Linked DNA regions of Drosophila melanogaster. The gene in region 1 interacts genetically with each later gene. Each region holds a gene or a part of one and is shown in the gene's direction. Other genes may lie near its edges. The genes, in order: Sec6 and Exo84.

Region 1 (3,922 bases):
ATCTGCATGCGTGTAGAGATTCTGACGCACTGGATTAGAGAACCCAACCTTGCCGCTGTCCAAAAGGGTTATGTGCTTAAATCCCCAGGACTACAAAATAAATAAACTATTAGTTATCAGATCAGTTAAATCATTTCGTATAAAAGCACACCAGCAGATTTCTAGCTACAGCGCATCCTAAAGTACCAGCTCCAAAGAGCAGGCATTTTGTTTGGGAGATGATTTCGAGATTGAGATCGGGAACAAGGCGCCACTTCATTAGTTTCAGGTTCAGGTTTACAGAGTTCTCAGCGAGTCTACGGAAAGAAATATTGTTAAATTATAAATAATAAACAAGTTACTTTCAACTGTCGTGGTAGCTAACACTAAGGACACACCTCAATGAACTGATAGTTCTTATCATTTAAGTCTATAGCTATTAACTTACTTGGCTGGATCCATGCTGTCCCTCATGCACACCATTCTTGGCCCCATTTTGCCATTTTTATTTAGCTCCCAGCCCACGAACTTTATATTTTCGCTTTGGCTAAGATCGCAAGCTTCAGTCTGAATCACCTTCCATACAAGGCTGTCATCGATGTTCATTTGTTGATTGTGTCGCAGGCCAAGAAACTTCAATGGTTTTCCAACAAAAGAGGGACTGTAATAGACCGACAACTGTGTGAACTGATATCATAACATTGCTATTCCTACCTACCATTGCTGAAGCAGAAAGGCAGCATAGTTTCGCATTATCCAAGCTGGATGCTCATACTCGCTGGGATCAGCAAAACCAAAATAACAGAACTCAACATTTTTATCGTCAAGGGAACTTAAACTACGGGCTTCGAAAATGTTCTTCTCCACATTAGCATACAGAATGAAGAAGTTCTGTGACTCAGTGGGTAAGGCCTTTAGAGCCATTATATAGCTACTACTATTGGGCAAGTCCCGCAGTTTTTGGACGGCTCCCTGAAGCTTTAAGGTGGGCGTCAGCGGGCACGGAAAGGCGAACCAATAGTAGTAGCTGTGACACTTTAAATCGGCAAAGGAGAGAACAAAGAACCGGGTCAATAGACTGGGATCTCTCAAGGCGCCACCACTGCACATATCAGCCAGCAGTTCCTTGCCCTCATCGGCCAGCAGTTGTAATTTGTCCAGGGCCTTGAACTCTTCGATTGTGTTCTTATTGTAGATGGTGCCTATAGCGGAATGGCTGAATTTTGGAGGCTTTGCCATTCTGGAATGTGGGTGGTCAAGCGCTGGTTTCATCAAACTCGTAGTTTTCAAGCTCACCTGTTGTAGGCCGTGTAGTCTACTTCCAAAAGGCATCCACTTGCATTACGATTTGTGTAGTGTCCAGTAATGGAGCGTTTCGAGTCGGACAGGCGATCGTGGTCGAGCTTAAGCTCCGCTAGCTTGTGCCAGAAAGTGGGCGACACAAAAGATTCCCACGGAGCAAATTGCAAAATTATCTCTTTTTCCGTGCTCATGTTTTGCTTAGGGCGTTGTTTACGTTCAAACGTTTGGCTGCAAATTATAAACAAACAAAGCTCTCGATGGCGATAGACCAATGAGAAGATAACTTATCGATAAGTACAGTTTTCCATACTTAGGTCGAATCCTCTGTTGCTTTGGCAAACTAAAAGATATACTTTAACTTCATAATTTTTTAAGCTTGAAGAATAAAATAAAAATTTTAAGACACAATAAAACTATAATAATTTTAAGAGTAGAATATAGCTTATTGTCAAGTTACACTGTAGTTCTTGGAAGTGAGATTGTCAGCCGCACTGCTATATGGTCACACCAGCACTTCCACTGCTGACGAAGATTGACCAAAACAGAGACTGAAAGTGATCCAAATAAATTGAAGATGGATTTACAGCAGCTGGAGGAGCAGGCTCGCCAGGCAGCGCTCAAGGACATACAGAACATGTTGCAGCGACCAGGTCAACTGGAGAAGGTGGAACAATATCGCCACCGAATCGCCCGGAAGAAGGCATCCGTTGAGGCGCTCCTTAAGACCGGAATGCAAGGACAGCTGGACGGGGTCAGGGTGGGACTTAAGCAGTTGGAGACCTGCATGCAGGACGTGCGCGAGGTAAGGCGTCGAATGGACGAGGTGGAGCGCCTGCTGAGGGGCGTTCCCGAAGTCTACGACGCTTTGGAAGTTGTGCGGGAGGAAAACACAAAGCACTCCCAGTACGCCACCGCCATGGAGAATCTGAAGCACATCTTCAACGTAGATGCCAGCGTACAAAAGACGATGGCGCTGATCGAGGATGATAAGCTGCTTAATGCCCATCAGTGCCTGGCGGATCTGGAGAATTCGCGGGATGATCTTCTCTACGAACTGCACAAGCAGCCCAAGCAGCATGCGTCCGACAAGATCACCCTAAAGCGTCACTTCGAGAAGGTTGACACGGTATCCCAAGAGCTGGAGAAAAAGCTGCGACTCATTCTTAGCCGCACGCTGAACACTCTGCGCAAGAAGCCCACCATCATCGTTACCGCCCTACGCATCATAGAGCGGGAAGAGAAAAACGACCAGTTCGCGTTGCAGCAGCAAAAGGTCACAGGATTCCTGCCGCCTGGAAGACCAAAGGCTTGGCGCCGCATGATCATGGACGTGCTACAACAGTCGGTGATAACGCGCATAGAGGGATCCAAGCTAGAGGAGCGGGCCGATAACAAGATGTGGTTAGTACGAGACCTGGAGATATTGCGTCAAATCATTCTCGAGGATCTGCGCGTTGTGAAGTCCCTTTGTGTGCCCTGCTTCCCGCCGCACTACGACATTTTCGGCGAATATGTCAAGTTCTATCACGAAGGACTTTCTAGCTATGTGAGTAATCGTCAATCATTTAAATTGATTAATGTTTTTATACCACTAATATTTACTAATTCCAGCTTGACAACATTGTGCGCTCGGGCTTGGAGGGCAATGAATATGTATCAATGATGGCTTGGGTTACACACACCTATCCTGGCGTCGAGCTGATGTCCCATCCGGATCTTAATGTGGATGTACACCGACAGATAGGTACTCTGCTGCGTCCGGAACATCTCAAAGCGCTGGAAGATGAATATCTGCAAAATATGCAGAGAAACTTCCAGGAATGGATGACCAAGGCCGCAGAAACGGAGAAGCAGGAGTGGTTTACTGAGACGGTGCCCGATCAGGATGAGGAGTACTACCACACTTCAGCGCCTGTCATCATATTCCAGATGATCGACCAGCATCTGCAGGTGACCAACACAATTCATCAGGAACTGACGTTCAAGGCGTTGGTAATGAGCATTCAGCAGGTGGAGATCTTTGGCCAGACATATCTTAAGAACGTAATCGAGCTGAAGGAACACCATTTTCGCAATCGGGACCAGATCAAATACTTCACTCACTACATCATCACCATCGTGAATAACAGTCAGCAAATGGTTGAACTGGCGCAGCAGATGAAACAACTCTACTGGCCCAAGTCACGTACTGAGCATTATGAGGATTTCGAACGTTTGCTTGCCACATTCCAGCGGATCCGGGCTCATGCCGCAAGTTACTTGCTGGAGGAAGCCTTCCTGGACATGGAGTGTCACTTTAACGACCTATTCACTGCCAAGTGGCTGGCCAGTAACATTGCCGTGGACACCATTTGTGTAACGCTGGACGATTACTTCCAGGACTATAATCACCTGCGACCCAATAACTTCGAGATGGTCATCAACGAGGCCCAGAAGCTGCTGGCCAAGCGCTACATTAGGGCACTGCTATCCAAGCGACTGTCTAAGCCACGGGCCGAGTGCGATGCCATTACGCGAAAAATCAAGACCGAAGCCAAGCGGTTTAAGCTCTTCTTTGAGAAAATCGCGCCGAAGATTTCCCTCAGCGACTCTCCATTGGATCTTATATCCACGCTATCGGCACTGCTTAGCTCGGATATCG
Region 2 (3,922 bases), on another chromosome or scaffold:
GACAGGCAGTGGTTCTTAGTAGCGGCTCAATCCTTGCGCAGCTTATCCAGGCGCGCCTGAAGATCCGCATCGGCATCGGACATGGGCGATGAGGCACCACTGCCACCGGGAGCTCCCGGACCACCAGCGCCGCCACCACTAGCTCCACCTCCGCCGGCGGCTCCACCGCCGCCAACGCCACCAGCGGCCACAGCCTGTGCTTTCTGAGCGCCAGCGCCGCCGGCTATGGAAAGGGAACCGGAGGCGGAAGGAAGGTCTCCCAGCTGTTCGCCCAATTGCAGACCCAGTTCGTCCAGCACCTGGGACACAACAGCATCCGTCTCCTCCTCGTCGCCCTCGTCCTCCATGGCGTCATCGATGGCATCGTTGATCATCTCCTCCTTCATGTCCATCATTTCCGACTGTTTCTCGAAGTCCTGCAGGATCTTCTGGATTTGCGGGAGATTCAGCTGGCGGTTCATGTTCTGCATGGCCTTCGTGACACCTGGAAGATAAGCATAATTGCTTGATAAGCGGGTGAATCAGCCAAATAGCCAATGTTTACCTTTCATGGCCTGTGCCATTGTGTTCTGCGACTTGAGCGTCTGAATTTTGAGGGACACCGCCTGGATGTTTGCCTTCATCAGCATGAACTTCTTGGCATACCGCCGCGTGCGCACCAGATCCTTGGCCATGATCTTCACGGCATCCATTTGACCCTCCTTGGCCATCTTCTTGATATCCGCGATAATCTTCTTCTCCTGCTGCTCCATTTTCATCCGCTCGCGGTCCAGATCTCGCATCGCTTTGTTGAGCGCCCGCTGATTCTTACGCAGCATCTCATCGGGGCTGATCTTCTTGCCGAATAGCCAGTCCATGTTTAAGGATATCTTAACTGCAAGATTTAATTACGAAGAATGACGGAGTTTCCTAAAGATTACTCATCAACCAAAACAATAAGCGAAGGGTGTGCGCGATTCTAAGGTGGCCAAGACGTGTTGGCGCTTACATGCGAATAGTGCTAGTGGGAAGAAGAAGCTTTGCCGGTGCACTCTGAAAGAACTGTTCACACTTCAACTTAGTGAATTAGCAACAGGTGGAAAATAATTTTAATTTATTACAATACAACACACACACATTGTAATGAATAGTATACATATAGACATATGTCTTCTTGATTTTTAACGTAGATCTTTGACGTAGTCGTTTATATTTAAAAGTTCAGTTCGAATAAAAAGTATTCAGGGCTTCAACGCCTAATCATACCTAAGATGAAAATCCGAAATGTAAATGCGAATAAATTTGTTGATCTCTAAAAGGTCTTTGACGTAGCCGTTCAGTTCGAATAAAACTTTTCATAGGTTTTAAATCTTAATTAATCTCCTATTACTTAAAACTAAATAAAAATGTTCTAGATTTATAGATTTATCTAATACCAGGGAAAACTGCAGTGAAAACATGGCATTTTCTATAGCATCAGCAACCTTACAATCGACACCTCATGATGACGCTCGTTCGTTGTGAATGGCTCTGCGTCAGCTGCAGTTTACATTCCAATCAGAATCATGAAGGAGTTCGACGATTTTAATTTTAGCGTTGAGAAATGTAAGTATTCCTATGTCTATTTAGCATTAATCAGTCTACTAATAAGTACAACGTTCCCAGATACCAAGGACCTGACACGAGAATGTGTGGGTGGCAGCGATTTGCAGCAGCGAAAAAAGGAAATCGAGGCCTACAACGAAACGACGGCAGCAACGCTCAAGCAAACATGCAAAAAGAACTATATGGAGTTTATACAGACGGCCAAGGAGATATCACGTAGTTTACGCCCCCCAATATCAATATACATTTATGTTAATATTTTCGCATCGCAGATCTCGAGTCGGAAATGTATCAACTGTCGCACATTCTGATTGAGCAGCGCAATATTCTGGCCACCATGACGGATGGCAAGACTTCCAGTCACCTGAAGGCAGAGAGTTTGGAGGCGGAGAGCACTACGGCGACGGAGGATCTGGAGAATAGCCATGCCACGCGGGCGGTCAAGGAAATGGTCCAGGGCTTCAATGGCAATCTGGAAGGCAAGACCTTCCTCAACGAGGGAGCTCTAATCGAGTTGGACAGTAATGATTATCGACCCATTCAAAGGGTCTTCTTTTTCCTCTTCAACGATGTACTGATTGTCTGCAAAGTGAAGCATGATAAGTAGGTTTTCCTATACTAAAGCATATAGCAAAAACTAATAGTAATATTTTTCAGGCGCTTGGATTTCCTCACCGAGTACGACCCCAAGAAAATAGCCGTGATTAACATTAAGGACTTGGATGGCGTTAAGAATGCCATTAATATCATTACTCCAGATGGTTCCAAGATCTATCAAAGCATCACGGCTGCTGGGAAGACGGAGTGGATAGAGAAGCTCGAAGAGGCCTTCCGCTTTGACCAGCAAAAGAAACCAAAAAAGGGCCAGGCGCCACAGCCTCCAACTCGGGCCAAACAGCAGTCAAAAGCTTCGACTCCGGAGAAGGAAACCACACCCCAGAGTCCCGGACAGCCCAAATCCCTGGAGGATGAGACGCCCGAGTGGCTAAGCACGGCCAGTGAAGAGATTCAGACCCTGGTGGCCCAACGGCATTTCGAGGATGCCCAGGAGCTGATAAAGCGAACCCAGGACTTCTTGCGAAACGAGAACCGAAAGAAGTTGCCACTAGCGGACGCCATTGAAACCAAGGTGAAGCAGCAGGAGCTGAAGCTGATCAATGTGCTGCTCAAGGAGTTGTCCAACAGTCACAATCGCAATCTGCAGATCGCTCTGAGAGCAGCCAAGCGGCCTCTGAAGATTCTCGTAGAGATGGGTCGCTATCGGCAGGCGAGTGCCACTCTGCTGAAGGTCTGCGCCGTCAGTTTGCGGGTGGCGCAACGGGAGGCGCGCAGGAATAATGCGGATATATCGGAACTCTTCTTTTGTGACCTGACGCAGGTGGCCTGTGATTTTCTCACCGCCTTTGAGAAGCAACCGGCGTGCGTTAGCGGTAAGCTTCATTCCTATTTCTGTCTACATTTAAGTATTACTACTATCTAATTCTTGCAGCGCTCGTGGTTTGGTGCAATGCGGAGCTGCAATATTTTGCCAGCCAACTGATAAAGCATTACCTGACCAAGGGAACCTCCCTGGAGTCAGTGGCCAAATGTGTGGAGCGAGTGCGCAAGCCCTCGACAAAGCTCACAGAGATCGGGCTGGACATTAGTTATCATTTGGAAGGTCTGTTGCGCACTACACTCGAGTCGCTCATAGAGGAATCCAAGGAGCGACTGCTGGACTCCGTGGGTCGCACCGAGGAGAGCTGGCAGCCGTACAATTTGCAGACCAAGTCGAACCTGAAGCGTCTGCTCCTGGAGCTCGATGTCTTGGGTATCGATGTGCGAGCCCAGGCGACGGGCGACACATGGATTAATCTCACCCAGTCGACAGTGGTTTTCATCAGACACTTCCTGCAGCTCACCGAGTACTGCGGCTGTCTGGCCAAGTGCGAAACCCTGCTGCAGAGCCTGGAACTGCTTCTTAAGGAGCTGTTCATTGCCCAGCATTCGTTGAAACCGCCCAGCGACATGGCCGTGGATGTAAGTTAGAAAGCAGCTTAAATAAAACCGCTCTCTTCAAGAATGCCATTTTCAGCCCAACTTTGTAATGAAGAACAAGATTTTTCTGGTGGACAACCTGCTGCCCATCGCCATCGACAAGTTTCGACAGATTTCTGGACGCCAGTGCGAGGGATTGCGCGAGTTGCACACGAAAATGTCCCGCCAGCAAGGTGCTCCAGTGCCGCGCCAGCGCAGCGTCTACACCACAGATGTGTTTTAGATGCACGCCGTGGGATTTACTTTCGATTACATATAATTTTTTATTTTTTCGTTTTGCTTCAATTATTTATAATATAAT

Evidence for each region.
Region 2: of Sec6 (region 1) and Exo84, changing one enhances a phenotype caused by changing the other (phenotypic enhancement), as found in Drosophila melanogaster (one study listed by BioGRID).

Annotation. Positions count from the first base shown.
Region 1 is NT_033778.4:18,623,488-18,627,409, forward strand, and holds the start of Sec6 (secretory 6), read left to right. Parts: upstream 1-1,761; 5' UTR 1,762-1,855; coding exon 1,856-2,827; intron 2,828-2,892; coding exon 2,893-3,922. Other genes in the region: Atg7 (Autophagy-related 7), read right to left, coding at 1-90, 152-296, 428-640, 698-1,219, 1,276-1,472. UniProt on the Drosophila melanogaster protein: Component of the exocyst complex involved in the docking of exocytic vesicles with fusion sites on the plasma membrane.
Region 2 is NT_033777.3:26,049,852-26,053,773, reverse strand, and holds the start of Exo84 (exocyst 84), read left to right. Parts: upstream 1-1,516; 5' UTR 1,517-1,544; coding exon 1,545-1,584; intron 1,585-1,644; coding exon 1,645-1,803; intron 1,804-1,856; coding exon 1,857-2,187; intron 2,188-2,241; coding exon 2,242-3,014; intron 3,015-3,073; coding exon 3,074-3,603; intron 3,604-3,658; coding exon 3,659-3,844; 3' UTR 3,845-3,922. Other genes in the region: Vps2 (vacuolar protein sorting 2), read right to left, coding at 27-484, 545-857.